Linked DNA regions of Schizosaccharomyces pombe. Changing the gene in region 3 together with the main gene of any one other region gives a genetic interaction. Each region holds a gene or a part of one and is shown on either strand. Other genes may lie near its edges.

What was found.
Region 1: of mei2 (region 3) and mip1, a mutation in one rescues a mutant of the other (synthetic rescue), as found in Schizosaccharomyces pombe (one study listed by BioGRID).
Region 2: of mei2 (region 3) and lsc1, a mutation in one rescues a mutant of the other (synthetic rescue), as found in Schizosaccharomyces pombe (one study listed by BioGRID).
Region 4: of mei2 (region 3) and mei3, a mutation in one rescues a mutant of the other (synthetic rescue), as found in Schizosaccharomyces pombe (one study listed by BioGRID).

Annotation. Positions count from the first base shown.
Region 1 is NC_003424.3:1,516,723-1,525,751, forward strand, and holds mip1 (WD repeat-containing protein), read right to left. Parts: upstream 4,721-9,029; 5' UTR 4,569-4,720; coding exon 627-4,568; 3' UTR 501-626; downstream 1-500. Other genes in the region: ssz1 (putative heat shock protein Pdr13), read right to left, coding at 67-144; coatomer gamma subunit Sec21, read left to right, coding at 4,990-5,020, 5,065-7,115, 7,175-7,810; rnf13 (RING finger protein), read right to left, coding at 8,309-9,029. UniProt on the Schizosaccharomyces pombe protein: Component of TORC1, which regulates multiple cellular processes to control cell growth in response to environmental signals. Tor2 is essential for growth. Nutrient limitation and environmental stress signals cause inactivation of TORC1.
Region 2 is NC_003423.3:821,771-828,036, reverse strand, and holds lsc1 (Lsk1 associated cyclin), read right to left. Parts: upstream 3,693-6,266; 5' UTR 3,664-3,692; coding exon 3,503-3,663; intron 3,459-3,502; coding exon 3,377-3,458; intron 3,233-3,376; exon of another isoform or gene 3,164-3,232; coding exon 3,038-3,163; exon of another isoform or gene 2,973-3,037; coding exon 2,849-2,972; exon of another isoform or gene 2,793-2,848; coding exon 2,290-2,792; 3' UTR 2,167-2,289; downstream 1-2,166. Other genes in the region: SR protein-specific kinase Dsk1, read left to right, coding at 224-1,858; palmitoyl protein thioesterase/ dolichol pyrophosphate phosphatase fusion protein Pdf1, read left to right, coding at 4,888-6,266.
Region 3 is NC_003424.3:4,509,687-4,518,648, forward strand, and holds mei2 (RNA-binding protein Mei2), read right to left. Parts: upstream 5,340-8,962; 5' UTR 3,607-5,339; coding exon 1,354-3,606; 3' UTR 1,297-1,353; downstream 1-1,296. Other genes in the region: grp1 (GRIP domain-containing protein), read right to left, coding at 1-164; omt2 (4-alpha-hydroxytetrahydrobiopterin dehydratase), read left to right, coding at 7,856-8,146; anaphase-promoting complex subunit Apc14, read right to left, coding at 8,287-8,610. UniProt on the Schizosaccharomyces pombe protein: Crucial for commitment to meiosis but it is not sufficient itself for the commitment. May be a splicing regulator.
Region 4 is NC_003423.3:716,082-722,464, reverse strand, and holds mei3 (protein Mei3), read right to left. Parts: upstream 2,747-6,383; 5' UTR 2,660-2,746; coding exon 2,213-2,659; 3' UTR 1,475-2,212; downstream 1-1,474. Other genes in the region: lsb1 (SH3 domain-containing protein), read left to right, coding at 122-1,012; cmt1 (catechol O-methyltransferase 1), read right to left, coding at 3,699-4,499; ubiquitin-conjugating enzyme Ubc4, read right to left, coding at 6,239-6,383. UniProt on the Schizosaccharomyces pombe protein: Acts as a critical meiotic inducer by binding non-covalently to protein kinase ran1/pat1 inhibiting its enzymatic activity. Inhibits ran1/pat1 by acting as a pseudosubstrate for ran1/pat1 instead of its natural substrate ste11.

The DNA.
Region 1 (9,029 bases), 3.0 Mb from region 3:
ATAAAGCAAGTCTATGCGAATGAACTAGGAGATTACTCATTTCTCCAAGTAAAAAAATTTTCTTACCCTATTAAAAGCAATAGAACTGTTTTGATTTCCAAAAGAAATTCCAATGACAGTCTTGTATTCTTCGGAATCTGCCATTATAAAATTTTCGCTGAATGGGAGAGTTTTCGTTAGCTTCAGCTGCATCAGAATTTACGACCCGAATATAAGAAAGTAATAGTACAATGCGAAAACATGAAATTGTGAATAAATAAATAAATTGGTATATTAGTATATTATTAATTATTTTTTAAGTTAAAAAAAGCTTTTTTTTCTTGACATTAAAAAACATTGATAATTACTAGCTTTTTCATAAAATGTATATAAAAGATTCAATTTTTCGATGAATGTAATATCTTAATTGTAAATTAGTGATTTTTTAAACTTCTTCAAAACCATATTAAAAATTGGTTTTACAAATATCTATAGCAGAGTTACACGGCAAAGGAGAAGACTAAGCAAAGTGGCAGGTTTAGCAAAATATGTATAATAACCAAATTAAGTGTTGCTAATAGAAAGAAAAGTCTAATCAGGTAAAGTAATCAATAATAAATTATGTTAAAACTATAGGAAAACATGGTTTAAAACTCGTTCGGCGAATCCGTATGAATCTCGTTTTTGGTGCAAGAGTATAGATTAACTCTACTATCTGTGTTATCACCACATGCAAGTAATAAATGATGCGGGTGAAACTTCAGGCACATTAAACTGGATGGTTTAGGCTGATTAAGGAACCGTGGATTTTCACGGAAGGTATTAATATTCTGGCCTAACGTGTCCCAAATTTTTATGCTTTGATTTGAGGAACCGGTTGCATAAACTGGGGCGTGACTATGCACAGTTAAAGAGGTGAGTCCAGAGTTGTCTGTTGAAAAAGTCTGTAAAGAATGATTCATCCTAATATCCCATAGCTTAACTTCACCATCTGAACTCGCCGAAATCAATTCTCGCATTCCGGAGGATTGCATTTCAACATTGACGATCTCGGACGAATGTTCTTTCCAAACATCCGTTAGTGAATCTCTTGCAGGCAATCGTTTGTCGTAAACACGAAGAACTCCATCTGAAAATCCAGCAACTATAATATTACAACCGACCAAATCGCTAGTTAAACTTGTAATACTATTACTGCTTCTTACTGGTAGGTTTGCATAGCAGATTTCTTTAGAAGCATCCCATATTCGAATAACGCGTACGTCTCCAGCAACAAGCAAGTGCCCACAGTTCTGTTGCCAACTCATTAAAAGGCTAGCATTTCGATCTCCAAAGACAAGATCACTTAGAGAATTCCACGAAGTTACCAGTTCAACCTTTTCATTTTCGTAGTCACGATACAGTTTAATTGTGCCATCAGAAGACCCAGTCATCAATAAAGCAACATCATCTTCATTTAGTAATTGCATGTCGGTCACGTTAGTTGTCGCACTTGCTGAAGTTTTGAAAGAATTGAGGCAACGATTGCGACGCCAGTCCCATACCTGAATGATATCTTTGTCACCTAATGTAATTAACTGATCTTCAAATTGGTGAAACATAAGCTTCCTAGGAGCGATAGTATTATTAAATGTCATAAGTTGTTGATTCCAACGACCGTTGGTTGAGTATTCAGCAAGGGGACGAGTACGATAAATAAGTTTTTCGTTTCTGTTTCTTCTCCACAAACGTTGATTATAGCAAATACTTCCAGGTTCATCGTCTTCGTTCGGCCGCATTTGGGGTTCGGTAAAATACTTACGAGACCAATCAAATAAGTAACTTGTAAGCGGCATGTCTAGCTCGGATTGGTATTCAAGTTCATTAAATGCAGGTGGACCAGGAACTTTGGCGGAAGTTAAGTGATTTAAATTAGACTCTGCAGGTTTGTTTTCTCCATTTAAGGAAAGTAATTCAGAAGCGCGATCACTTCCTGCCAGGCTTAAAGCCAAGCCTTTCAACGATCTAGTCAGAGAGAATGACCTGTTCAAGATTTTGTTTTCTGAAACAGAAGGAACGAAGGGATGTGGCTTCGGGTCGCTCGTAACTGAATTAGTATCGGTATCTTTGGAAAGAGAAGCTTTATGGAGAGCAGGTAAGTGTTGCAGAAGAAATGCTAAAAATGATTCTCTTAATTCAGAATTTAGCATACTCTGATAAACGTAATTTATTATGGCTTCAGCTGCAAGAGAAATTTCGATGCTTGGATCTGCAGCCAAAACCAAAACAGCTTGCCAAACTGTTTCGTAAATTGTCGAAGCACTGATAGAATTGTGGTTCTTTTTCTCAAGGATATCTGCTAAACTGCTCTCATACGCAACTACCATTAATTGCTTCTTATAATTCACTACAAAGTGAGAAAGGAATATCACTAGTTCATGTCGAACTAATGGTGACGCATCAGAAAGAGCTGCTAACGCCGCAATTGCAATATAAGTTTCAACAGCAACGACTTCTTCGGTCTTCTCAGGAAATCCCAAAAAAGTGGTAAACGCTGTTAAAACTGATGCACGAACTTCAGGAACGGAGTCAACGATGATTTCAGCTAATTTTACATGTGCATTATCACGAGTTCCAGACCATTTAGCTTCAGAGTAATTTTCCCAAAGCTGAGAAATACATAGGCAAGCCCATTGTCTTAATAAAGAGTCGGGACTATTTAAATGGGAAAGACAATGTGATAAAACCTGTGGGTTTAAACAAGCTAGCTGGCCTTGTGGGAACCCACGACAAAAAACACTGAGGATGAACGCACACATTGCTCGGTGTTCGGAAATATTACTTGAAGGAAAAATGGAAGAATTAGGGTTCAAAATTTGGACAAAATATCCATAGCCATTGTCTTTTAGTAAGTCAGCTTGACAAGAATCATCTACAGCAAGGATTCTCGCCCAAATAAATACCAACACAGGCTTTAACTCAATAGCTGGAGACTGGAGAAGTTTCAAAACGTAAGGAAATATACCAATAGAGAGCGCTAAATCTACCGCCCACACCCCGAGATCCAGAAATTTTGAGAGAAGAATTAGTGCACGCAATCGATGAACTTGTGAAAGTAATACCTGCAAAACTAGCGGTAATTGATCCGGTGGCTTTCTGCTAATTAGTCCTTGAGAGAGCCATACCTCAAAGGCAGTTAATTGCTCACTAAAAAATGTCGAATGCTTGTACTCGTAGGCTATGCCTTTGCTTTCAGCATCAAGCATATCAGGTAACTGAGATAGACAATTATCAATGGCCAAATCCCAAGAATTCCACATAGGATGATCGTGGGTAGGGGGGAGTTCAGGACTGGACTGAGGATGACAGGAATGAACGAGCATTATACGTTCCGCTAATAGAAAGTTACGAAACAGTGCTGCTACCATAAGATCTTGCCTAAATAATCTTCTGAAAAGATGCTTTGGAAAGACATTCCAAGCAATCGTATCTGTAATAGCAGTAAATATCCAGTTTAATTCGCCTAATGGAGTACGCCGATCTTGCAAGCGACCGGGAATTTTAAGAAGCATATTCAAATTAAGCTTATTAGGAAACGGGTTTTGCAAGACATACCAACGAACCGAAATTTCAATTGGGGAGGTAAGGCAAGAAGTAAACAAATCAGCTGGCAGATCTGGGTTCATCGGAAGGGTTTCTTTAGGCCCACAAGCAGCAAGTTGAATACAACTAGTATGAGAAGGCATAGCGAGCACATTGGGATTTTGCTTAGCAATACGGAGAGCTTCTTTGTCTCTCTGCTCGGCAAAACGATTAAAATTCACTATGATATTCCCAGCTGCGCTACAATCGTAAACATATATACAAGGCGCTCCAAGCCAAGATTGTAAGTCATAAAGCGATACAGGAATGTATTGAGTATAATTTTTATTGAAAACCCAGATTTCACCAGAGGCAGTAGGCATTGGGACACCATGACCATTATAATGAAAAAGGATCCGTTCCTCTTTAGCGTTTCGTCTTTGACCAATGCAAAGTTTTTTGACTTCTTCAATTGCGGGATCAAGGTAATGCCTATATCTTGTTCTCATACTTAATGTTTCATATTGTTGCTGCAAGTTCTTGCCAATGGCTTCAAGTGCTTTAGAAGCAGGTAATGAAAACGGATCAATCCAACATTCATATTTCGCTGCAGGATTAGGCTTTATAACATCAGGAGGATCCACCCCTATGTTTAAGCAAACTAACAATGCTGCAGAAACAGTTTTAAGCCGTTCGCGCATTCTCCAATCATGAATTGTTTCAGTAGGTTCGGCATTCTTTTTGCTGATCACCCCCCGATGCCGTTTATCAGTGTAATACATGTAAAAGACCTGCTCTAACATGTTTATATATTCAGCATTGTTGTACTCTTCTTCAAAACCATGTCTAGGTTGCGGGAATCCGGACTGTATCCCATCTATCATTGAACTCGCTGTATCGACACCATTCTCTGTAGCAATGTTGCTGTTCTCTGTGTATCTATCGCTTCCGGTCTCGGTTGTTCCATAGCTTAAGACTGATCTACGAGCCCTTGAGCTACCAGATACTTCACTAATTCTATCATTCATGTCGCATAGCTCAAAATCAAATACAACATTTCAAGAACTCTTCCCTATGTACAAAAGGTCGGTAAATCAGGAACTCAAGGGAAACTTAATTAACAAAACAAAAAAAAATAAGAGAAAATTAAGATGACTCTGTATGTATATACGAATTACGCAAGTGATATAGGAGAAATGTCAAAGCAATTAAACCATGTAAGTTACGAACTTTTGCAGTGTTTTATGGGCATATTTCGTTATACTGTTTAACGCTCGTAAAATACTTCAGTAATCCACTTAAGAAATATAAAATACACAACACGTTATACTTTGGTAATAATCGAAACCTCCTACTAGCTAATTATTTATCTACTACATACATCCAGTACGTTCATTTAGTTCTCTATATCTGTATTTCTGCTAAATACAAGAGACTTTTGTAAAGAAGATGAGTTATTCTAAAAAAGATGATGATGGTGGTATGTTGATTGTTTGGAATTATGAGCTGACCTTTTAACAATAGACGAATCGATATTTGCCAATGTCAATCAAGTCACAGTAACTCAAGATGCTAGGGCTTTTAATTCATCTTCCATAAGCCCTAGAAAGAGTAGACGTCTTCTTAGCAAAATCGCCTACTTGATATATACGGGAGAGCATTTCCAGGAAAAGCAAGCTACAGAACTCTTTTTTGGTATTACTAAACTTTTCCAACACAAAGACCCTAGTCTTCGCCAATTTGTTTATATTATTATCAAGGAGCTTTCCGTTGTTGCTGAAGATGTGATTATGATTACCAGTAGTATCATGAAAGACACCGCTACGGGACGTGAAACTATATACCGTCCTAATGCTATTCGCTCTTTGATTCGTGTCATTGATGCTAACACTGTCCCTGCGATTGAACGCATTTTAACTACGGGTATTGTTGACCCCATATCAGCTGTTGCCAGCGCTGCTCTTGTTTCCGCATATCATTTATATCCTGTTGCGAAAGACATTGTATCGCGTTGGAACAACGAGGTTCAAGACGCGGTCACATCTCATAATGTTGGTAGAAAAGTTGCTAGCTCTCCTTTTTTCACCTCTACCTTGGGTTACACACCAAATGCCAGCGGCATTTCTCAATATCATGCTTTAGGTCTTCTGTACCGTATTCGAAGACATGATTCGATTGCAATGAATAAGTTATTGCAGCTGCTTGTAAGCAATTTAGGAACAGTCTCAAATTCTCATGCATTTGTTATGCTTATCCGCTACATTTCTAGTCTAATGGATCAAAACACTCAATTTAGAGACCAGATGGTTCCATTTCTACATGGGTGGTTAAAAAGTAAAGGAGACATGGTAAACTTAGAAGTTGCTAGAAATATGGTCCGTCTCAAAAATATCTCAGATGATGACTTGCAACCTGTGGTTAGCGTTCTTAAAATTTTCTTGTCGTCTCACCGATCCGCTACCCGATTTTCAGCTATTCGTACGCTTAACGAGTTAGCCATGACACGTCCACACTTAGTACATTCCTGCAATCTTAATATCGAGTCTTTAATTACCGACGTGAATCGCTCCATTGCCACCTACGCTATCACAACACTTCTAAAGACTGGTAATGATGAGTCTGTCGACCGTTTGATGAAACAGATTGTTACCTTTATGTCCGATATTTCAGATAATTTCAAAATTATCGTCGTTGATGCCATTCGTTCTTTATGTCTAAAATTTCCTCGCAAGCAAGATTCAATGCTTACCTTTCTTAGTAATATACTTTGCGATGAAGGTGGTTATGAATTTAAACGTGCTGCCGTTGATGCTATTTCTGACATGATTAAATACATTCCGGAATCTAAAGAACGAGCCCTTGCCGAGTTATGTGAATTTATAGAGGATTGTGAATATCCTAAGATTGCGGTACGGATTTTATCTATTCTCGGCGAAGAAGGTCCTAAAGCCTCAGAACCAACGAGATTTATCCGCTATATTTACAATCGGATTATGCTTGAGAATGCCATCGTACGTTCCGCTGCCGTTAGCGCTTTGACCAAATTTGGATTGAATGCGGAAGATAAATTTGTCCAACGGAGTGTTAAGGTTATTCTCACAAGGTGTTTGGAAGATGCTGATGACGAGGTTCGTGATCGTGCTGCTTTTAGTGTAAAGGCGCTTGAGGATAGAGATGCATTTTTGCCAGTGGTTAAATCTGATAAAATTCCCTCATTACCTGCTTTAGAGCGTAGCCTTGTTATATATATTTCTGAAAGGAAGTTCGGACAAGGCTTTGATATCAAATCTGTGCCCGTACTATCTCAAGAAGAGATTGATGCTGAGAATTTGAGAATCAAAAAGGCCACGACAGAGGTAGAGTTTACAGAGGTTACTCCTGCTGAGGACCAAAATGCTCTTGCCAGTTCTAACATTGAAACCGAGTTTTTAAACGCATTAGAATCCGTTTCAGAATTTAATGAATATGGCCCAGTACTGAAATCATCGCCGTCACCTATTGAGCTCACTGAGCAGGAAACTGAATTTGTTGTTAAGGTCGTTAAGCATGTGTTCAAAGACCATCTTGTGGTTCAGGTAAGTATTCTTTGTTGATATTTAATTTTATAATTACAGCTGATTACTAATGCTTTTAGTTTCAACTTCATAACACTCTGTCCGAAGTTATCCTAGAAAATGCTGTCGTGGTTTCTACTCCTTCTACTGACGACCTTGTGGAAGAATGTGTCGTCCCAGCTGCCATCGTTTCAGGAGAACCAGTTTCTATCTTTGTCAGTTTTAAATTTAATGACTCGGTTCCTTACCCTCTTACTACCCTTACTAACACTCTTCAATTTACTACGAAAGAAATCGACATCCATACTGGTGAACCAGAAGAAGAGGGTTACGAAGATGAGTACAAAATTGATGACTTGGATGTCTCGGCCGGTGATTTTATTTCTCCTGCATACGAATCGAACTTTGATGGTCTTTTTGATAGTCTTGAACATGAAGCTTCTGAAGTTTACGTACTCAGTCTGCTAGATTCGTTTAGAAGCACATGCTCACGAGTAGCTGAGTTACTTCAAATGCAACCTCTCGAGGGCACAGAGAATCCTACTGACAAGCCAGTGCATGTTATGAAACTCTCCGGTAAACTTGTTAACGGAGAAAAGGTACTTGCATTGGTGAAGATGGCTCACTCAAAAGATGGCGAAGGTATTACAATTAAAGTAATAGCTCGGGGTGAGAGTGACAGCTCTGTTGAGTTGGTAGTTGGAGGAATTGCATAGATCGTGTAGATTCTGCATGGATACTTTCATTTTTACTTGAATTATATAATTTAGTAAGTACAATACAGGCATTTCTTACATTTTGGAAATACTAAAATTTAATATTGAGCCAAAATGGAACAACAAAGGACAAGTAAATAGTAATGAGAGTTAAAATATGAACTTTTTTAACTATCCTTAACGTCAATGGCATGCAAAAGCTTTTTTCATAAAAAGTGTCGATAAATTAACAAATTTGAGCAACAATCTGGATTAAATGCATAAAAACTTAAGCAGTTAATATTAAGTCATTTTGATCCGTAATATCCAACCACCGAACAAACGAATAAAACAAAGAAGGGTAACATCATTAAAGTAATACAGAAACTAAAATATAGTATAAACAAATAAAGCTTGTATGAAAACATGGGTCGTTAGCAAATATACATGGCTGAAACGGGAAATAGGAAAATGTGGCACGAATAAGTCAAAGTAGGACATTAGGTGTATCTTCAAGGATTAGAATGGCTTGGGTGGTGGAACTTCGGTATTACAGGTTGGACAAGCATGTCGATAATCAACGATCCATTTCGCAATACATGGACGATGGAACTCATGTTTACAGGGTAAAGCAACAACCTTGTCTCCCTTCGTAAAGGACTCCAAACAAATGACACATTCGACACCAAAAGTCGCTCGGCGAGTAGACTCATCCATAAGAGGGACAAGTTCTCCATTTTGGGTTGAATTCTCAATTTCTTCCTCTTCACTGTAAAAACCTTCACGAGAAATTGTACGAGAAGGGAGATCTTCAATAAATCGTCTGGTTTTAGATTTTGTTCGATATGTACGAATAAATTTACGAATGGCTAAGGCTTGCACAGTAATTAACATAATAATGGAAGGAGAGAAGCAAAGTAGGAAGGGCCAAAACATATCACCCAGTTCCTCCGGTTTTGCATATAATTTCAGTGGCTGACGATATGAATGCAGTAAGTCAGACCATAACAAATTATAAGAACTAGTAGAGACAAACAATGATGGAATATGAACTTTTGACTCGTCCACTTTATCGGGGGCAACCATATAATGTAAGCGAAATGAGGAAGGTGATCGATTGTCACCAACTATAACCCCTTTAAATCCGAGCCTTTGGGCTTCCAATGCTTTATCAAAATAGGTACACTTGCCTCTTTGAACCAAGAGAAAATCCAATATTGCTTCATCCTTTGACTCGCCC
Region 2 (6,266 bases), on a different chromosome or scaffold from region 3:
CTTCCTAATGCGCAAAGTTTCCTCGGTAGTGTGCTAAGACTCCACGGTGTTTCCCCGTGTTGATTTTCGCACTAAAAATACTACTCCATACCGTATTTATAACCAGAACAAACAACAACAACAACGAAGGAATTGGTGTATTCACATATCTCAGATATTTTAATTTAAGAGCTGGAGGGACATATCAGTAGTTTCTTCATACGGGGCAGCCAGCCATTTTGAAATGGGAAGTGACGGGTCGAGTTTGTCACCGAAAGTGTCACAACCGGGACACACTGAAATAGTTGACCATGTCAGTGAAAAGGTGATCACGAATGGAAAAAATGTTAATAAAAAGGTCAATGCTGAAGTAGACGGAAAAAGCATGGTGGAAAAGGTAAAAACGCACGAAGAAAATGCAGAGGACTATCACTATGGTGGATACCACCCAGTCTACATTGGTGAAGAATTTCATCACCGTCGATATGTCGTTGAAAGAAAATTAGGCTGGGGACATTTTTCAACGGTTTGGCTTGCATATGATCGAGCTGCCAAACGGAGAGTAGCTTTGAAGGTGGTGCGTTCAGCAGAGCACTATCGAGAGACCTCAATTGATGAAATTCGCATTTTGCAGAAAATTAGAGAAGGGGACGAAAAGCATTTGGGCAAAAAGCATATCATTTCTTTGCTCGATTATTTTGTGCATCGTGGTCCTAATGGAGCTCATGTCTGTATGGTATTCGAAGTTCTCGGTGAGAATCTTTTAAGTTTGATACAGTCATACGGCCATCGAGGAGTACCTGTGGGTATTGTAAAGCAAATTGCCTACCAATTACTCATCGCTCTGGATTACTTGCATCGAGAATGCGGGATCATTCATACTGATCTTAAACCCGAAAATGTTTTAATATGCATTGATCAGGATGCCTTGCAACATATTGAGGCACCTGCAACAACTTCCTCCCCCACTTCTAATACCTCTTCTTCAAAAACAAGAAATAACACTGGTTATACAGCCAAAGCTCCAATTATTAAACGTGGCCAATCTGTAGATAACTCTGCCCAAGAACGCAAGACATTTGCAAAAAATCCAACTAAGAATTCTAAGCCTGCTGGCCAGGTCATTCCTAGCAGTCCTTTTACTTCCACTTTGAGCCGCTTTCCTTCATTAGAAGGTGCTGTTTCAGAAATCAGCCTTCGTGACTCTCAAAAGCATAATTCTCATCCTAATTCTCCGTTTTCTAGTGGAGATAATTCTCTTATACTTGATGGTGTTAACGGTTCTCAGGAACCCGTTCCAAAAATCACTGTTAAAATTGCCGATCTCGGTAACGCGTGCTGGACACGGAAGCATTTCACCAACGATGTGCAAACCCGTCAGTATAGGTCTCCAGAAGTAATTCTAGGATGTCGCTGGGGAGCTTCCGCTGATTGCTGGAGTTTTGCCTGTATCATTTTTGAATTGCTAACCGGCGATTACCTTTTCGATCCACGGAATGGGAATTCTTATTCTAAGGAGGATGACCACATTGCCCAAATTATTGAGTTATTGGTTAATTATCCTAAGCAAATGGCACTTTCAGGAAAGCACTCCCGCGATTTATTTAACCGTCGCGGTGAACTCCGAAATATTCATAAATTGAAGTTTTGGCCTTTAAAAGATGTTTTGGAGCAAAAATACCATTTTTCAGCCGAGTTGGCTCAACAAATATCAGACTTTTTATCTCCTATGTTATGTTTTGATCCTGCCAAGCGAACCAATGCTGGTTACATGAGCAATTCTCCATGGTTGCGCGAAGTGGCTGATCCTACGTTCAAAATCGAGACTACTGGAGCAACCGGTGAAGATGTACCCGGATGGGCTACTGAAATTCGTTAGTGTTTACCTTGATATTGGTTTTGAAGCGCTAGTAAATGATTTTTTTTTATATATAGTTTTTTTTTGCGATATCGTCCCTTTTTTAATTTCCCACCATTAGCGTGATTGCTTTAAAAAAGCATGACACCTTTCACTCTGAAATGGGTTACGTATGATTATCACGATTCCTTCTTTTGATCAACATTTACTGCACTGAAATTTGAACGAAATTTCCTTTTACTTAATGAATATTTAAGATATAGCAGGGTTTAGGTCAGCTGCTTTTTAAATCATATTATGTTTAGAAAACGCATAAAATAAAGTTTTGTCATTCAAAAGGAAGTTAATTGGAAATTGGTAACTTGTAATGTCACATATTAATATACTGTTCAGAATGCTGTCGAAAGAAGGAACAAACCGATGGTAAGATAACTCATTAAGGAACCATTAGATTAAACCGTACCTTTATTTCTCCTTTCTTCCAGCATTCGTTTTTCAAATTCGGTATTAAAATACTTTCTATCGCAGTCTAAAATAAATCTGGCACAACTTTCTTTGGATTCTTGAAGTCTCTTATTTGACTCACGGTATTCATCTGCTAAAGAAGAAGAATGAGGGTCAATTTGGGGTGGTTTTTGAGGACGGCCAGAGTTTTTTTGGGCTCGTTGGAAGTCAACACATAATCCAAGTAATTTTTCCGTTGTATACATATTACCAATGCAAGTGTGAGGCTGATAATGCATATATAGATCGAGTATATCCGCAATCACTGCTTCCGTTAGTGCTGGTGGAGCGAAGAACGATCTGGGAATTATAGGTTGAGGAAGTTGCTGTAACTTGCAAGCAATAGAAATCGATGCGACGGCAACAATATGGGCTGGATATTTTAACATTGTGTATGTTTTATAAGCATCAGTGCAGACATTCCAAGCTATACTTGCCGTGGAAGATGAAACTGAAAGTAAATTAGTTAACTCGAAAATTATAAGGTAAAATGAATAGCAGTCATACATTTCAGTGATTTTGCAAATTTTACCATGTAATTGTGTGGATGTCGGACTCGAAAATCGAAACAAATCAATTCCAGTGTCATTCTTTCTAAACCTAGAATCCTCTTCTTGTTCTCTTCGATTAGCTAATACACCTGTAAGCAAGTCTCCTTATAAACAAAAAACAATTATTGCGCACCTTGTAACATACTTGTGAATGAGCATCGACCTCAGAACCTGGATGCTTTTGAAGATAATGTGCTAAAAGAATATCACGAAACTTTTTGGCCGTATCTTCGATTTTACTAGCAACTACTAAGCAAGCAGTAGCGCACTCCTAAATGTGTTAGTTATTTTTGAAAGAAAAAGAGCCTAAATCAAGAGAATATGATGTTTATAACTTGGAGTAGCTGAGCTAACATTATTAAAAACTGTAGTCTTTTTTAATAGTATGACCAATGTACAGCATTCAGAATATTCTTATATCAGAATACGTAAAATTTCAAATAGCACAGCATACTCATGTGCGAAAGACATCCAAATAACATACCAGCAAAGGAATTTCATTCACGGGAAAAAATAGTTGGAAACGACTGTATAAAAGCATTGCAAGGCCGCTGGTCCTTACAGGGCTAAAAAAAAGTTAGATTCTAGATAATTTTGAGGAAAAGCATACAATTTTAAAGTTTTTGAAAGTGTTGATATCCAAGCGAACGCCTGCATTCGCAAATTATTTTCTTTGGGATCTCGCGTCGACAAAATTCGACTTATTTCTTTTTCTGAATAGTATGGGTGTGACATTCGTATTGAAAGTACATGATTCTCATTTTCTGCCATTTTAGCAGCTAAAATGGTGCTGGGTTTGTGAAGGCCTGGCTTTACCTGCAAGGTGCAAGTATGCTGAAGTTAAGCGATTCCTTTTAAGTAACGCATTTTATCATGTTGTATACTGTAAATCAATTAAAATAAAATAATTTTAATTCAGCAATTGCAGCTCGAAATTATCATGGAAATGTTCGCAGTTATTGAATTTGTAAATTATGACAGTCCTGCGTGCTATTGTAAAAGAGTTATGAAATTACTCATTTCTAAAATAAAATGATTGTTTAACCTTCGGAGTGTTCGTCGTTTAATTTCTGAAAGTAGCGAACTCCTACACTACAACATGATTTTAGTAAATTAGTTATTTAAGTAAGGAATAGAGACGCTATGACCTTCACGCCAATTTGTCTGTTAATTAAAATATTTTTTGCATTTTTTTTTGTCTAATGAAACAGACATTTCGTCAAATTGAGCTATCATAAGAAAACATTAAACATCTAATAAATTCATATTTTCCTAATAATTCTATCATTTTGCATATTCTTATTAACTAATTAATTTTTGCGATTATAAACGCCAAACATTTCCTGAAAGCTTTCCTTTCAATCTTTTAAAGTGAAACTCTCTTATTTTTTTTCTTATTAAACTAGTAGATATAGGATGATAATATCTTTTAATTATTTATACTATACATTGCTTCATTATTTCAGCAATTTTTACGTTCATTATAATTTAAATTCTGCTGCACAAGAAGATATGTATTTTCACTTCTTTATTAATGATAATTTACCATGCTTAGTACATGAGAAAGGCCCACAACTGAATAATTTTATGGTGATACCAGGATTCAATTTTAGGATGGTAATTTTAATAATAAATAAATCATAGAATTGAACCATTTGAGTGTTGTCATATGCATTTTTTTAATCTCTTAGGGTTATTTTCTATTCCAAACATTTCAGATAAAAAGATCGTTCACAATTTCTGCAAATCCAGACACTGCCTTTTGAGAATTTAAAAATATCCAAAAAGTAGATGAAGTATACAAATTTCATCTTGAAAAATACCTGTGCAAAGTTCTGTTTCAATTTTTGTAATTGATCTCACACTTCAATTGTCTAATACATACTTATATATTACAACTTTAAACTTTCGCTTAGATAAAAGCTTAGATAATACGTAACTCATCAATTCCTTGGGTAATTTTCTGAACCGTATTCAACACTCTTTATTTTCGCCATGTTGAGCTGTAGCTCATTTTTAATCTTTTTTCTATTCTCTTGGGTTCTTTTACCTATGAAAAGTTTTGCAATACCAATTATTAGTTTGGATAAGGTCCGACTAGCTATTAATGACGGAGCTTCTGAACAATTACCTGTGGTGATTTGGCATGGCTTGGGCGATACTCCCACTAGTTTTACTCTTACAGAGGTTAGCCAGCGTGTTCAGAAACTAACTAAAGGTGCGGTATATGCTATCCGCGTCGGTGACAACGAATTTGAAGACATAAAAGCTGGCTACTTAGGTAAGCTAGAGGATCAATTGGATGAAGTCTGTGATTTGATAGGAAATGAAGATTCCCTTTCCAACGGATTTTATGCGCTTGGATTAAGCCAAGGAGGATTGTTTTTGAGAGCTTTAGCCCAGACATGCGATGCGGCAAAAATTCGCTCACTTATTACATTGGGTTCTCCGCATTCAGGAATCAATACAATACCAGGTTGCTCTCCTACTAATTTGATTTGTAAGGCTGTTGTTCATTCAATTCTTGGACTGGGTATATGGCATTCATGGATACAAAATCACGTCGTGCAAGCACAGTACTACCGCACGGAGAAGCAATATGACAAGTATTTGGAAAACAACAAGTTTTTGACTCATTTAAACAACGAAGTACTACATGACAACTACACTAGAAATATCGAAAAGTTGAAAGAGTTGGACAATTTGGTTGCCGTGTCGTTTGAACGTGACGATATTGTAGAGCCACCATATTCGACTGGATTTGGTTGGATTAATGAAACGACAGGAGAAAACATTGAAATGGAAGATTTTGTTCTTTACGAAAGCCTTGGCTTGAAGGATTTAGTTAACCAGGGGAAACTGGAAACCATCAGTTTTCCTGGCAGGCACTTGCAAATGAGATGGGGGGATTTTGACGCTCTTGTTTTGAAATATTTTAAAGATGAGAAAGAAGAAAAGACTGAGCTAGAAGAATCTACAAGACCTTCCAACTTCTTATCAACATACTTTGTTAGTCCATTAGTTTCAGCCATTGATGGAACGGTTGATTATTTACATGGAAAGTCCTTGTTCCCCGAAAAAAGAAATTTCAAAGAACTTACTATGAGGAAAAGAAGCATTGTAACTCCTGAAGACTCTGAAGAAGTCTATCCTTACATTTCCGAGTTTGTCGCTGCTTCTAATGTTTCGGAGGAAAAAGGACCTAAATCATTTGCGAACCTTGCTTTTATTACTATATTTTCTCACTTTTTCTACCACATTGATGACATGTGGAGAAGCACTTTGGGGTTGTTTTCTTTAATTCCCCAGATTATTGGCATCATTTACCTTACAGTGATGTTTACTGGTAGGGAACTGGACACATTCATGCAATT
Region 3 (8,962 bases):
GAGTCCATATTTTTCGCGTCCTCTTCATTTTGAGAGAGCTTATTAGAAGATTTATTATTTCTTCTTAATTGATCTTCTTCTTGAAACTGCCTACGTCGATTCTTAGCTTCTTCCTGGCCTTGGGCCAGTGTCATGTTCAATTGATCTTTTAATCTTCCCAGCATTTTGATTGATAACCAAGAAAGAAAGTACCCATAGATTAAATCGTATAATGTTATTTAATCTTATACGTGCTTGGAAATATTAGTTGTTAGATATTGTAATTGACTGGGTATGGCACAATATTCTAGTGTTAACATTCTGCCACTTTAGCGTACTCTATTCTACTGCACCCTGTTAGATGGATTAACCCTTTAACTGAATGTATCGCTATCTCACAATATCAAATGCTTGTGTACCGTATTAGTATAGCAAAATTAAGCATAAACTATGAAATTGCCCATATAAATTGATTGAAGATAATTTTATATTCGATGGAATTGAAACCGAGATTACCCAATCTATTATTAATAATAAAAATTCACCACAAGGCCTGATCCGAAAACATTTAGAAGATTTGAAAACTCTTCAAGCAATAAACAGTGAATGTTTTTTAACAAGTTTATTTGTAAGTCCAAAATGATACAAGGAATTAATAGCAAGAAGATATACTCTCAGCAAAGCAACGCTAGCTGATTTTAAGCTCGTATATTTCAATAAGAGATACATTTTTGTACGATAACTGCTATCTTATGTGACTTTAGTAGCATGTTACTTAAGAGAGAAGATTTTCTAGCAGTACAATTGAAATTATCTGATTAAATAGTTGTGTTAAGGGGAATTTAATTGTCCTTAACTCGTTATTTGCATAAATTATAAAATTAAACATTTTTTTCAATGTGGCATTTATTAAACAGGTCTCAAGTAAGAGTATGTATTTTGAATAAAACATATCGATACTCAGAGTGAAGTTGACCATCTTGTCAAAATACAAGTTAATTTTAGCACGTTCACTATAACTAGATCTTTGTCACATAAAATTTGAGGCAATCATAAATTTAGCATTGAGCCGTCATTGATCATAATAAACTTATGGCATAAAAATTCGTATACAAAAAATGATCAATCATTATTAATAATTAAATCGAATAAGTATACTTTCGTAAAACGTTCCCATTTGGAAACATAAATTAACATCATATATTTGAAGTGAATATAATTTACACAAGCAGGCAAATTCTTGCAATTTGTAAAACATCCGAAGTTTTTGGAGCAATCATAATATACTTTGGAATTGAACAAAAATAAAATATAGAAAAGAAAGGGTAAGCAAAGCGATAGGTAAACATAAACAATACAGGATCTCTTTCGTAATCAACATTTGCTTGCAGTTGGAGGAAACAAGCCTATTTGTTGGGCACTAGCAATAGATCTTAGTTTACGACGTGCATTATTGGGAGCAGGGAAAGGCTCTTCCATTCCTCTATTAGGTCCATGGCTTACAAATATTTTCGGGCGGTAAGCAGGGTTCTCGTCCATAACACACGAGTTTCGGAATTTTTCAATCAGCCTGTCTTTGCCTTGAATATTAGCATAGCTGATATCGCATATTTTTTCAGAGTGAAAGACGTTCCATTGAGTACCCACTCTAGCTTTGCCAAAGGTAATGATAGATTGAGGTTCAATAAAGTTTATAAACGCATATCCTACATTGCATTTATTAACAAAATCTATCCGTAAATAAAGAAAATCATAGGTACCCTTGTTGGTAACATCAATGTAATCCCTTAGCATTTGCTGGGTAAATTTATTCGGGATATTTTTTATCATTACCGTGGTTCTTGTGTCAATTCCAGACGCAATTTGTGCATAATCGACAGAATTTCTATCTGAAGCATGTTTTTCAACAGTAGGAGTATATCTTTGGAGATTCAAGTCCGGATTCAGAGAAGAAGCAGATAGTGTAGAATCTGCTTTTGAGTCGTGTAGAGTAAGTGAGGCAAAACTTAAATTTGTAGGATTACTACATGATGCATTTGCACCAACAGTTAAACTTCTCCTCATACCAAGAGAACCTGTTGGTGAATCAAAGACTTTACCAGTATTAGAGGAAAAAGGTGACCATTGTGGATTAATTCCGTTCAGTAAATCACTATTCCTTTGCTTAAGACGTGAGGAATTTGGCGGTGCAATAGGATTTACATCTAAACCATACCTTATCGAATTATACTGCCTGGAAGGATTTCGATCACTGGGAGCAACAGGGCTAGTTGAAGAGACATCGTAATATCCGCTTGTTCCCCAAGCTGGAGATGATTCAGTGCGTCCTAAGGGAACGGATCCAAAGTTATTCGACATTCCATAACTCGAACCAATTCTTGAAACAGCACAACTAGCAGCAGTGGGAGTTTCTTGGTTAGAAGACATTGTCATAGAGTTGTTCCATTCAGAATTGTTATTTAACATCCCACTAAATCCTCTTGGAACAGAGAGGCTAGAGGCCGAAGAGGTGCTAACTGAATCAGCCATTGCATCGTAATAAGCGACTTGAAGGCAGCAATTATGAATAATTCTTCCATCCAATTCATCTAATGCAAAAGATGCATCTCTTGTATCATAGAATTCGCAAATAATTTGTGAAACATTTTGACTTCTTAAAGGCTTCATAATAAGAAGTGGACCGAACGTCTGAAGTATAGATTGCAGTTGAAGGATGCTCAGAACAGAACCTCCCTGCATATTTAAGAGAAGTTGACCTTCATTATCGTCAAGGAATTGAATAGTAGCACCTTGATTAATCATTTTTTGAATGCTGCTTCTTTGGCAGAATTGGAAATACAGTAATCTATCATTAAAAAATCTCTGAGATCGCAGTGATTTAGCGGCCTGTATTGCTTGCCTAATATCGAAAAAAGCAACAATGCATATACCATCCGTAGACAATGAAGATGTATCAATTCCTTTCACATCTCCAAGTTTTGAAAAAAGCTCCAATAAAGTAGCATAAGGAACAATACGAGGAAGGTTAGTAACGAACAAGTAACGAGAAGCATGAGAAAATATATCTATATCGTCAGAATTAGAGTTAAGCGAGGAAGAACGAAATCCGGTAACAGATGGTTTACGAGTTAGTGCCTGAGCTGCTTGCTCAGAACTTGAAATGTAACTTTGAATGCCATTTTGCGGAGGGGATTCTGAGAGAACAGAAATGTTTTGTTGCCATGTACTAAGAGGTTGTCGATCAGCTGACAATAAAACATTACCTGTAGTGAATACTTTCCGTTCACCAACTCGACAAGCATCAATAGGATTTAAAGGAGCGGTTGAAAACTGATAGTTGTTTTCGTTATTAACAAAGTTGGGGAAGATATTTTGAGTATCCGTAAGATAATCAATTGAGTTTGATTCACTAGATTTGGTAGCAGATAGTTGAATATTTCTGATGGGTGAAGGACCACTCAAAAGTAAAGTACTCTTGGGAGGGTAATGCTCGTTAGTAGAGAGTAATGGTGAGTCAAGAAGACTTGAGGGCAAAGCATGCATTGTTTTCTCCATATCAACTTGAAAAGTTGAATCAGATGGAGAAGGGGAGGTGATTGATAAAGGTGATTCGGTTTCCATAATCATTTATGTGTTAAAACGGCAACAATAAAGCTGGCCGATAATCCTTAAAATAGATAAAGAGTAAAAAAAATTACTTAATGACTAATAACTTATAAAACTTTGTTTAGAAGTGGTAAGAAAGGGAGAGAAAGGAACTGCAAAGGATTAAGTTAATACAAACTTTAAAAGACCAGAAAGTTGAAAAGAAAGGAAGGGGTTAGATGGTTGTTAGTAAATCAAACAAACGATGAGAAAATGCAAAAGAACAAAAGAATAATGAAATGAAAAGAAAAAATCAACAATAAATCACAATTGTCGTTCAAATGTATATAATCAAACGAAAAGAATAACAACCAAGATTTGAACAAACAAACTTGTCTTTCATAAAATTAACAAAAGAATAACAAACGTTAGAGGAGGAGAAATTTTCGGGATAAAACTAGGAAACTACCCTTTAATTTTTTTAAAAAAAAAAGAAAAAGATGGGATATTGTCACCACAGAAGAAAAGCGCAAGTAAAAATTTAAAATAATCGATTAGAAACTTTACACATATATACAAGAAAAAATGTATATGCGTATATGAAGAGAAAATGGATTGGAATCGTATATATATAAATGTATATATACGTATCAGTTAGGTTGCAAAAAAAGGAATTAAAAAGTGAAGCACACGAAAAAAGGGGAAGAAAGGAATCGATTCTAGGACAAAGAAGAGAAAAAGATATCAGGGAATGACAATAACGATTCAAGAAAAATTGGTAAAGATCAAAATGAGGATTCAAGAATACAGCCAGAAAATGTAGATAATGTGGTAAAAGATATAATTTGAACTTTCTTTGCGAATGCCTACTATGGGCTATTTTCAACAAGGAATGGGAAAGCGATGGTTGGTCTCGGAGTGGGCACAAGTAATTAATAAACAAACAAACAAAGAAAAGAGAAGTAGCAACTGCGTTCAAAGGTAACAAAGATGCGGGTGGGGATTTTAAGAAGGAAAGAAATGAATTAGATAAATAAACGTATCAATGTTTTGTTACGGTCGATAGGTTTATTGGCGCGGATGATGGCAGCTGTGTGTCCTATTAAGATGGAAAATGCGAACGGTAAGAGAAACAATTGGCAAGGATGGAGTAATGGAAAAGAAGTAAATGCACGATGTATAAAAACTTAAGTTTTTTCCATATGGTTTTTCAACTAACTAGAGGTGTAAAAAAAAAAAAAAAAAAAAAAAAAGCAATTTCCCTTTCCTTTTTTAAAATGGGGTATATATTTTTTGCTTTCTCTATTACAAAGGAACGTTAAGTTTCAGACAAACAAAATATACGACAGCCTAAATGGCAGCAGCGAAACAAAACAAAAACGATGCAATGCAATGCGATGCTTTTCAGTACAAATCAAAAAGCCAGCCCAAAATAGTTCTGTAAAGATAATTACAACAATCTGTCCGGCCGGATTGCTGGAGGAAGGATGGATTGTATGTTGGGAATAATGAGAGGGCTTGGATGCTTTATAATGAGATACAGTAATTAGAGAACAAAGAAGTTATTTCAAAGAAATCACAAAGTCAAAAAGGACTTTATTTGCTCGCAAATATTACGACAATTACTGGGAGAATGCTTGATTGAATGGGACGTACTGTTTATGCTACCCCTGCCTTTGTCCCGTGTAACACAAAGTGGGAAGAGTAACAAAGAAACGAAGTAAGCCAAGTAAACAAAGAATCTCAACAGCAGCTTTCAGTGGCGAAAACAAAGCGTTGAAAACAAAGGGAATCAACGAAATTTATAGACCTACGATGAAAATTTCAGTAGCCTTTACTGTTAGGCATTTACTGTGAACGTTTTTGCAATGCCCCTGAGGGGCTAGCTCGAGAAGGGTTTGTAAAACAAAGAAACTTTAAAATAGGAACAAAGAAATCGGTCGGCTTTCGTTACTCTATCTAAAGTTATGATGCGATGTCAGTAAGCTCTAATATAAGAGGACGATAATGGAAAAAAAATCCCATAAAAAGCGGGACAACTGATCCAATTTGGACAGATTGAAAGCCAACGCGACTCGCGTTAGATAGAGTAAATAGCGAGAAACGCTAAATGCATTTTCTTTTATGGTGTTTGCTTTGTCTACTGAAGCAAAAGGCTATTTATTCAAATCAGTGGTAATTAGTGTATAGCTTGTAAAGGTAAGTTAGTCCTTTTGAAAGTTTGAAAAAGATGATAGATAAAAAACAACGTTGTATCCATCCCGAAAAACATGGACAAGTCAAAGAAATCACATTTTTTATTTGCCTTCATTAGTGTAGTAATCTCCACCTTGCTGTATAATTCGGTAAGGATTTCTTTTGTTATTTACGCGTGCTTTTTTCCATACATCTTTTTTCGCCAATGCAAAACCCTCTTTTAACAGTGTTTCTTCTTTCAACCCTTATTCAGCGCATGCGTCTCCTATATTTGCGCGTTTTACACAGAGGTCGTTTGACATCCAGATTGTTCTCTGGCATGAAAGATAACTACATCATTTAATATTAGCAACTTGCTCACTTTCTTTTCTTTTCACATAAACTATAAAGCTGTTCGGCAATTAAAATTCCCCACTGAAATCCAATTAGCCAACGATCAAACTAGATCGCATTTATTGAGTGATTTGAAAACAATGCTTTATGCGCAAAAGTGGAGAAGGTAAATGTAGACAACCTCACGTTTTTGTTTATAAACATTAGTAAACGCCGCATTCGATTTTAATGTATCACGTATAAATCGGTAAATATGTGTGTACCACGGTTGTAGAAGTGCTCGAAGACAAGTAAGAAGGAAGCATTAATAACTTTTGGCAATTAAAAAGAGGTTGGGAATTCAGAACAAAAAAAGAGTAAAAGCGATATATTTATTCTATTCCAAAAGATTTGTATGCATGTATAAGAGATTTTAAGGCTGATGATGGTTTTTGATTATACTTTGGGTTTACATTATTTTTGTTTTGTTCTGTTTTGTTTGTTTTGTTTTGCTTTCGTATACACTCTATTTTTTTTTAAACGTAAAATGATCATTAGCGATGTTGCTTCAGTAAAGCGAGAGTCAGTGAACAATGGTTAGATTAAAGCTTTGCTGAGTAAATATTTTTTGGCTTTCTTATTAAAGGTCTTATAAGAAACATATGTGTATTTTTTGTTTTATTGCTTAGCCAGTTTACTATTTTTGGGACAATGCGTTTCGTAAACGTTTATGATGTTTGATGTACGTGACGAATTGTTCAAAAGTTAAATTTTGAGGTTTAAAAAAAATGAAGGCCTGAGAAACCGCTTCTATCTCTATGGTTGTTTATATCACCAACAAATGTCAATTGAGAATTTGAGGAAAGAACAGAAACCTAAGAGGAATCTTGTTCTTAAAGGATGAAAAATCAACATGACAATTCCTTCATTTTATACATCTTGGAAGCGAAACACAAGAAGGGGTGAAAGGAAGTTGAAGAGCTTGAAAATGTCAGTCAGCAAAGGAATTCCACAATTTTTTTGATAAGTGACGTGAAAGAAACCTTTTGAGTTTGGTTTCAATGCTTCATGCTTCTCGAGAAAAGAGGCGGTCTTGGGTTTTTATAATTTTGTGTTTGAAGGTCCCATTTGATATTTGGAATGTTGCTGCAGTGAAACCTAACTGTTTACAAGTATTTTTATTTTTATTCATAAATGTCTCGTAAGCTAAGTCTCACCTTTTCTCTTATGCAAACAGGAGGTTATTTGATTATAGTTATCGAATAAATGGATGATTGATCCATGTATAAAATGATATTGTTAATGGTATTGATATCTTGTTTTAAAACATGTTTGTTACTTATAGAAGCACTATGTGTTGAAGCCAAGTCGATAAACTTTTAAAAATTAGGAAGTGTTCCATGAATAAAATATTTTAACATTAAAAAGAGCGAATGACTATTTACCCATAAAAACTGATGGATAAAATGCTACAAGACCAAACCAAGCATATTTTATTTATTTTGGAAATAAAACTAGGAAACTGTTTATACAATTAACAAATATAATTCTAATGCTCCTCTGTAGAAGAGGTTCTTTTAGCGTAGTAGCTAAATTTACTCTTTTGATGTTGTGAATAAGACAAGACGATATGATTTCGTTCTCTTTCACATACCAAAGTAAAAGGAGGTAAATTGAGTGTATTAAAACAGTTACGTTCTACACACATCACATTGATATTTTACCTAAATTTTGAAGAAAAACATTTTTTCTGGAATAAACGTTGGTTTAGAAGGTTGAAAAAATGAACACATCAGCTAGATTACTGGCGTTAGTCTCGAAATCAAAAAACAACTGGATTCTTCAACAAGGAGATACAAAACTATTTAAAAGCTTTCGTTTTAAAAACTTCATTGAAGCTTGGGGATTTATGAGCTGTGTCGCATTGCGTGCACAACAGCTAAATCATCATCCCGAATGGACTAATGTATACAATAAAGTGGATATTACGTTGACAACTCACGATACAAAGGGACTTACAGAAAAAGATTTAAAGCTGGCAGAATTTATTGATACACTTGCAAAGGATAACTGAAAGCTGCAACCAAGAGGGTAGTAGCGGAAAACTATCTTGAGACACAGATTGCCAGAAATTATTCTTAATATTTTGAATTAATTTAGTGTTTAGTGATGTGGTGTTTGAAAGGATAAGAATTTATATCATAAACTCATTAATCACCATTCAGCCAACTGGTCAAGTTGTTGAACATGTTTTGTCAGATGCTGCATAATAGCTTGCCTGTATTCTGGAATAGAACTTCTGCTGGAAGCAATTCTGGATATTGCAATTCTACTTGCCCTTTCATTTCTTTCTTGCTCGGCCTCTTCACCACCTATAACATCTCGATAATTCCAAAATTCAATGGCTTTTGAAGCTTCAGGGAGTAGAAGTGGTTTCTTGGCGAGAGGTTTTGGGTTGCCAGACATGGAGAGTCTTTGAAAGACGTTTCCAAAAGTTCGATAACTTTTGGACTGACCAGTACCAGCAAACGGATCCATATGACCTCGAAACGTTTTAATATACAAAAGTAAAAAAAACCCCCGTGAGTACTAAGAGACAATGACTTCAATCATTGATTTGTTCTTCTTTAAAAGAGAACCGTTTAAATATGAAAATTGTAATCTCTTTTGTATTTAAGCAGTAAGTGAAGAGGTTTGGACAAGTGATTAGGAAATTTCACCGATTTTCTTGTTTATTTACTATCTTGTGTGCGTAGTTGAACAAAACTCCTTGCCATCGTTAGAAAGCAATGCTTGTGGTATAAGAATGTGGAGTGTGTTATTAAAATAAAATAGTGAAGTCACCTTTTGTCTCCTAATATCTTAGTGAACTTTAACGTTGATGAACGAT
Region 4 (6,383 bases), on a different chromosome or scaffold from region 3:
TTGTAAACCTACCTTCCGCCATTACCACTAATCAGCAAAACTTTTAAAGATTGATAAGAATTAACTGAAATAATTTTTATTTGAGATCTTAAAGAGTTAAGTAATAAATTTCCATAGAAATATGGATCATAAAAACTACCTGAATCATGTTATTCGTGGAATCTACAACGACTTCCAATTCCTTGTTGATGAGGGCGTAGTTGAAAGGAGTGCTTTGGATTGGGTTCACGCAAATATCCATTTACAGGACGGTCCCGCTAGTCCTGTAACTGCTCCAGCTGCTCAACCTGTTGAGTCCTCAGTACCCCTTCCCTTGCCCAAGCGGAAGAGCTCTGTGGAAAAAAGAGCAGGATCGGTAGCGTCTGCCGTAGCAGCAATGTCTTTGTCTCAAAACTCTGGAGAAAAGAGGACACCCGAGGAACCTCGTAAGCTGCCTGGAGTGCCTGCCCCACAGAAGCAAAGCGAGGCTTCAAGTGTCAATTCATCTACCGAGAAGCTTCCCCCTCCTCCCAGCTATCCTGGACCCAATACTGCCCATAAGAACGTTGAGCGGGTTTTGGCGATGTACGACTTTCCTGGCCCTGATGCTGGTGATTTAGGTTTCCATGCTGGCGAAGTTATCATTGTACTTGAGCATGTCAATAACGATTGGTGGCGTGGTGAATTGAATGGAAAGGAAGGAATCTTCCCTTCTAACTATGTGCGTTTGTTGGAAGATTCTGCCGTTAAAGCTCAACCTCCTCCTCCTCCACCACAGCAAAACTATCCCCCAGCAGCATCTTCTTCGGCACCTCCCATGCAGTATCAGCAAACAGCATATCCACCTCAGCAAGCACCATATCCACCTGTCCAAGCCTATCCTCAGGCGCCTCAACAACCCATCGTGGTTGCACAACCGACCGAGCACAAGCACTCATCAACATTCAAGAAGATTGGTAGTGGTTTGGGTTCTGCATTTGTATTCGGTGCTGGTGCAACTGCTGGCGCTGATCTCGTCAATTCCATTTTTTAAATGCGAGTTCGTTTCTTTCCTTTTTCTATGCTTTTTTTCTTCCTTTATATAAGTAAAACTTTCTGTGTGGTTGAACTAGCACCTGTGTTTGTTATCGTTGGTGCGCAGTTGTTTTTTATTTTGAAATTTCCAAGTAGAAATTTCCGTATATCGCGAATGCATTTCCCTTGTTCATGTTTACTCCTTTGGTCTTTTGTCTTTTTCTCGACTATGCTTTATGCTTATAAAGCAACACCGCGGCATAGCTGCTTCTTCATAGATTGAGACACCTCATTTATGTGTATGAATTCGATATCCAAACATTGTTGCATATTCTTTATGATTATCGATGCGTACTATTAAATACGCATGTCTCTTGACTTTTGTTTATTTTTAGTGTTTTTCTTTTTACGACTTTCATACCGTTTATATTTTAATTCCATAATAAAAAAAATAAATTACAAAGCAAAAATATGATTAATAGGGAACGAATGACAGTGTATTAGATTTGTTAATATGCTATGGTAAATTGTTCTATTGCTTAACGTATATTAAAGCAAAAAATAGTAAACGGATGAGGAAGTATAAATTAGGTAGCCTTTGTTAGAGATTTAATTACGATGTCCGGTCAGAATCGTTTCCATTAAGCAATAAAAAAGAATCGACGTGGAAATCCCATGAATGTAAAGACTCACATTATTAAAATGGGAAGATAAAGTAAAAACTGGAGACAGCGAATGTCCAACAAAAATGGAAGATGTATGAATAATGATGAATCAAATTCGGTAACACGTTGATGGGGATTCCAAGAGAAAGTAGCAGAATTTCAAAAAAAAAAGAGAACGACAATAAAAATGAACCTTTGTTTAAAAATAAAAGAAGTCAACACACAATAAAGAATAATGAGACTATGAACAGAAATGAAACTCAAGGGAGAATTGTTATAAAAAGCGTCTGAAAGCACTGGGGAATGAATGAAAGGACTAAATTTGTTTTAATTTTTTTTCTTTTTTGTTGTAAAAATGGAAAACATGAAAATAAGTATGCAAGTTCAAATATAATAGCTGTATAGTTAGGATGAAAATTTCCTATAACAGCGGTTTAATTAATAAAAATTAATGCTCGAAAGAGAATTTCTTTCAATTTTTATGTGGTGTTCATATTCCCCTTCGGCATTAGTCATTCAGGATCGAAGAAAATTAAGCTAATTTAAGCAGTTGCTTAGCGAGAGGTGTTGTTTACACGGTCGGTGATGTCAAAAGTCTCGTTAGGTCGAGGAACATGAAATAGGTCCAGGATGGTTAGTTCGTTAGTGAGGTCTGAGGGAGAAAGAACTCTTTGGACAGGCTTAATCCTATAAACCTTTTCAGTCTGAATATTTTCTTTATTTTCATGTTCAATGCGTTGTGCAGGGGTTCGGCGAACACGTTTAGTGCGTTTCATGGGAACGCTATGTACCGATCCAGCTTTGGTAGAACGGCCGCGTTTGCTTGTAGAGCTGATGAAAGTGGTACCGGCATGGTCAACAGTTTTGGTGTTAGTGTTAGTACTGGAGCTTCCAGTACTAGTTCTGGGAGAAGTTGAGCGTCTTGCCGTATTGGTGCGATTTGGTAAAGCAGAAGCGCTGCTTGCTGGGTGACGGCTGTTGGAGGTGTTTTGAGAGCTCATTGTTAGAAGTAGAAAGTGATTGTAAAAGTAGAATATAGTTTGATGTGAATTAGATAATAGAAAGAATAAGAGGATAAGAAAATGGATGCAGAAATGAGCGACTAAGCACTCATACTTATACTAACGCAGCACATTTCTTTCAAACCCATGGCTCACGGAGGTTTTTCAATTTCGTGTAAAGTATTTGATATTTGCAAATGAAACAAAAAAAACTATTAAACAAATAAAAGATTATTTTTTTGTATACAATCACAGTACAGAAAGTGAAAATGCAAAATTTAGAAAATGATAGTAAAGACCAAATGAGAAGTAAGAAACAAGTATATTTTATGTTTTCAAATGAACTACTACTATTATATTTTCTACTCTTCATTTCCAGCTTTTAATGCTTGCGAAGTGGCATGCTACGCGGCGCGACACGCTTTTCATTTAGAGAGCAGCGTAAACAAATCAAACTCGTGTTAAGTTTCGATATCATTCGTTAGATTTCCTTAAAAAATAACTCAGGCTAAACAACATTGAATTGAATAACGCAAAAAACAGTATTACAGTAATGTGTTTTTAGAGATTGCTACATTCCACAATGCAAGCTTACCACTTTGCTTTCGTGCTCGCTCAATCATTGCATGAAAGGTAGATATATCCAGCTAGGTGTTCTTCGTATTTGCGAGTAGAGTAATTAGCAGTGCACATTTATAGTATGCAAGTTAACGATTTCTTTAGTACTTCTCTATTGACGATCATGCGTTCATCTAACAGAATGGGCACATTCCAAATGTAATAGTGAACAGGAAACTTAAATTACTATACTATACTTGACATTTTACACATCGTTTTTAGAATCAAGCAACGGGATTAAAAGAGAAATCAATTCATTGTCAACTATAATTTATAACATTAGCAAACAATATCTGGACGAGCAAAGAATGGGATCCCAGACACGATTGTATGCTGTATAAACTGGGCTTCAAAAGATCGTAAAAGGTATCAGATACCACATAAAGTCAATTATAAAAAGATTAGGGAATGCCTTTGGTACCTAATCTTTTTTAGCATAGCCAACACACTCCGTAACGTCGACAGCGTCTTTGCGGTGTTTATTGCGAATGACACCCTCAAATTCTTTAGTTTCAGTCTTATATATCAAATCCCATCTGCCGATGAAATCGAATCCATTGACATTGCGAACCTTGGCTTGATATCCTCTACGTTCTTCAGGACTCATATTAACATATTTATGATATTCAGGAGCACCAGGTGTTATAATATTATCGGCCACTAGAAGGGTTCCCGGAGCAATCATATTAAGTGATTCAATAACCCTCAAGTCAGGCACATAAAGGTCCTTCCAGTGGTCGATAAATACCATGTCCAAAGCTTGAAAACCAAGGTCTTTATGCAATAATTTCTGTTGCAGTTCGACCAAACTGTCGCAAGCCTTGCCAATCATGATGGTGACTATTTCATCCAGACCGGCCAACTTAACCAACTCGTAAGCAATCTTGGCATAATCCTCATTCACTTCCAAGCTGTAATAACGACCACCAGGAATTTTGGAGATTTCATTTCCAAACAAAATAGCTGAGTAGCCCAAATAGCCGCCTAACTCAACCATGATTTTCGGCTTCCGTTCACGAATTTTCCCAACGATAAATCCACCTTTAACATCTCCTATACACATTCTCACTCCAGATCCGTCTGGATACGTGAATTCATCGATTTCCTTAAGAACCAACTCAGGATGCCCGCGAATCGCATCCAAGCGCTCTTGAGGCAGATTTTGAATGTGTTGCAGAAACAGCTGTTCCTTTTCACTACCGTTGTCTTCCATATGAGGCATGATTTCAAATTTCGAAAGGTTGGTTAAAAGTTGATTTTCAGCTCTGCATACGCAATACCATGCACTTTATATAGTTACGAGGGATGGAATGTTGCTGAATTCGATGCACCTCGTATGTTGTCACTACGCCACGCATCTTTACAAACTACCCACCGTATCATAGGACATCTAGCACATCTAGAGACCGAGGCTCGGTGAGTCAAGACCCTTATGTTACAGCAGTACCTTTATACTTTGCGCCATATGGAAACTTTGGACTTTGAGGCAACAGAATAGCAGACTACACTGCGTTGCACTGAAGGAATTGTGAAATATATTGAAACAAAACAGTGTTTCTGTAAACATAGATCCGCAAGTATATGATTTTACACTATTTGATTTTGGGTGAAACATCAACGCAATTACAACGTATCGTTATAGTTTAATAACAGACTGTATTGAATAATCGATATTGTTCGTTATGTGATAAACATTTCGAGTGCAAATGTACCGGATCTAGAAACATCAGATTCATCTGTATGTACTGCATAAATTTATTTATAATTGTTCAGCTCTTTCTCCTATTGTTAAACTATTATTATTGTTATGAAGTACATGATTTTAATTCGCTAAATTCGATCCACACCGTCAAGTTTTTATGCGTTTGCAACTCAAAAACATGGTATTTCGCTACAAACTCAAATTGGTTCCGATCAACTGGTTATTTTTTATGTTTAAGAAAACATTTCATTTTACATTTCTTTCAACTTTCCTTTACCTACTAAAACTTCAACTTAAACAAGCTTATGATTTATCAAGTTTCTTGATTTTAAAAAAATGACCCCTAAGTGACTTGAACACTTGACTTTGAGATTTGGAATCTCACACTCTACCAACTGAGTTAAGGGGCCATGTATATTCTCTAAGCAAAATAAATAATATATAACAGTTAATTTAATAAATTTTTATTTTTCTTTTATGTTACAGGATACGAGAAGCGTTTTCATAAAAGTAAATATTCCATGAGTAAAGAAGAGTGAGAGGGTTAAAAAAAAAGCTCTTACAAAATATATATCTCAGTAATAATGAAATCAAAATTTTCGTTGATTTATACTCAACATCACAGCATAAAATAGCTCAATAGACGACGTTGTAAAGACAAATACAAAACTAGGAGTTGAATTGACTGGCTATTATGAGTTGTGTCTATAGCAGTATCACTTCGTATTGCATGTCAAGTATTATCATTTTCTTTTCAGCAAAAAGGCGCTACAAGGAATTTGTTTATTACTTAGTTTTGTTTAATAAATATTTTTAGCAAAACCTTAAAGACGTAGAGCCGTTTACTCTCTTCGTAACACGACTTTCCATTCGTGTTATTCTACTTTTACTTGCACAATATTTCACTTAATCGGCAGTGTTTACGTACCTTTTTAAAAATATATGCACAAACGCTCTTGGAATAATCCAACTGGACCCATTCGGTCTTATTAAACACAAAGAAAAATTTTGTACTATTCAAAAAATCATAAAAATTATCTAAATCAAATCATACTTTATCCTCGAACATAATACAGTTTGTTTTAAAGGCAGCTTGTATCCTCAATTTTACGATGCAACTTTACTAGCTACATTATCGCCATCCCCTACTATTTATTTAAAAAACCAAAACCAAAAAAAAAAAAAAAAAACTATACAATACATTGGAGAAAACAATTCGCAAAAGAGATGAATATTTAATATCAACACAGAAACAAACTCTAGATTGCGTATTTTCTAGTCCATTCACGAGCACTTAATTCATAACGGGATCTGTCAGTTTTGTAGACGTGCGCAATTTCAGGCACAAGCGGATCATCAGGATTAGGATCTGTCAACAATGAGCAGATAGACAGTAATACCTTT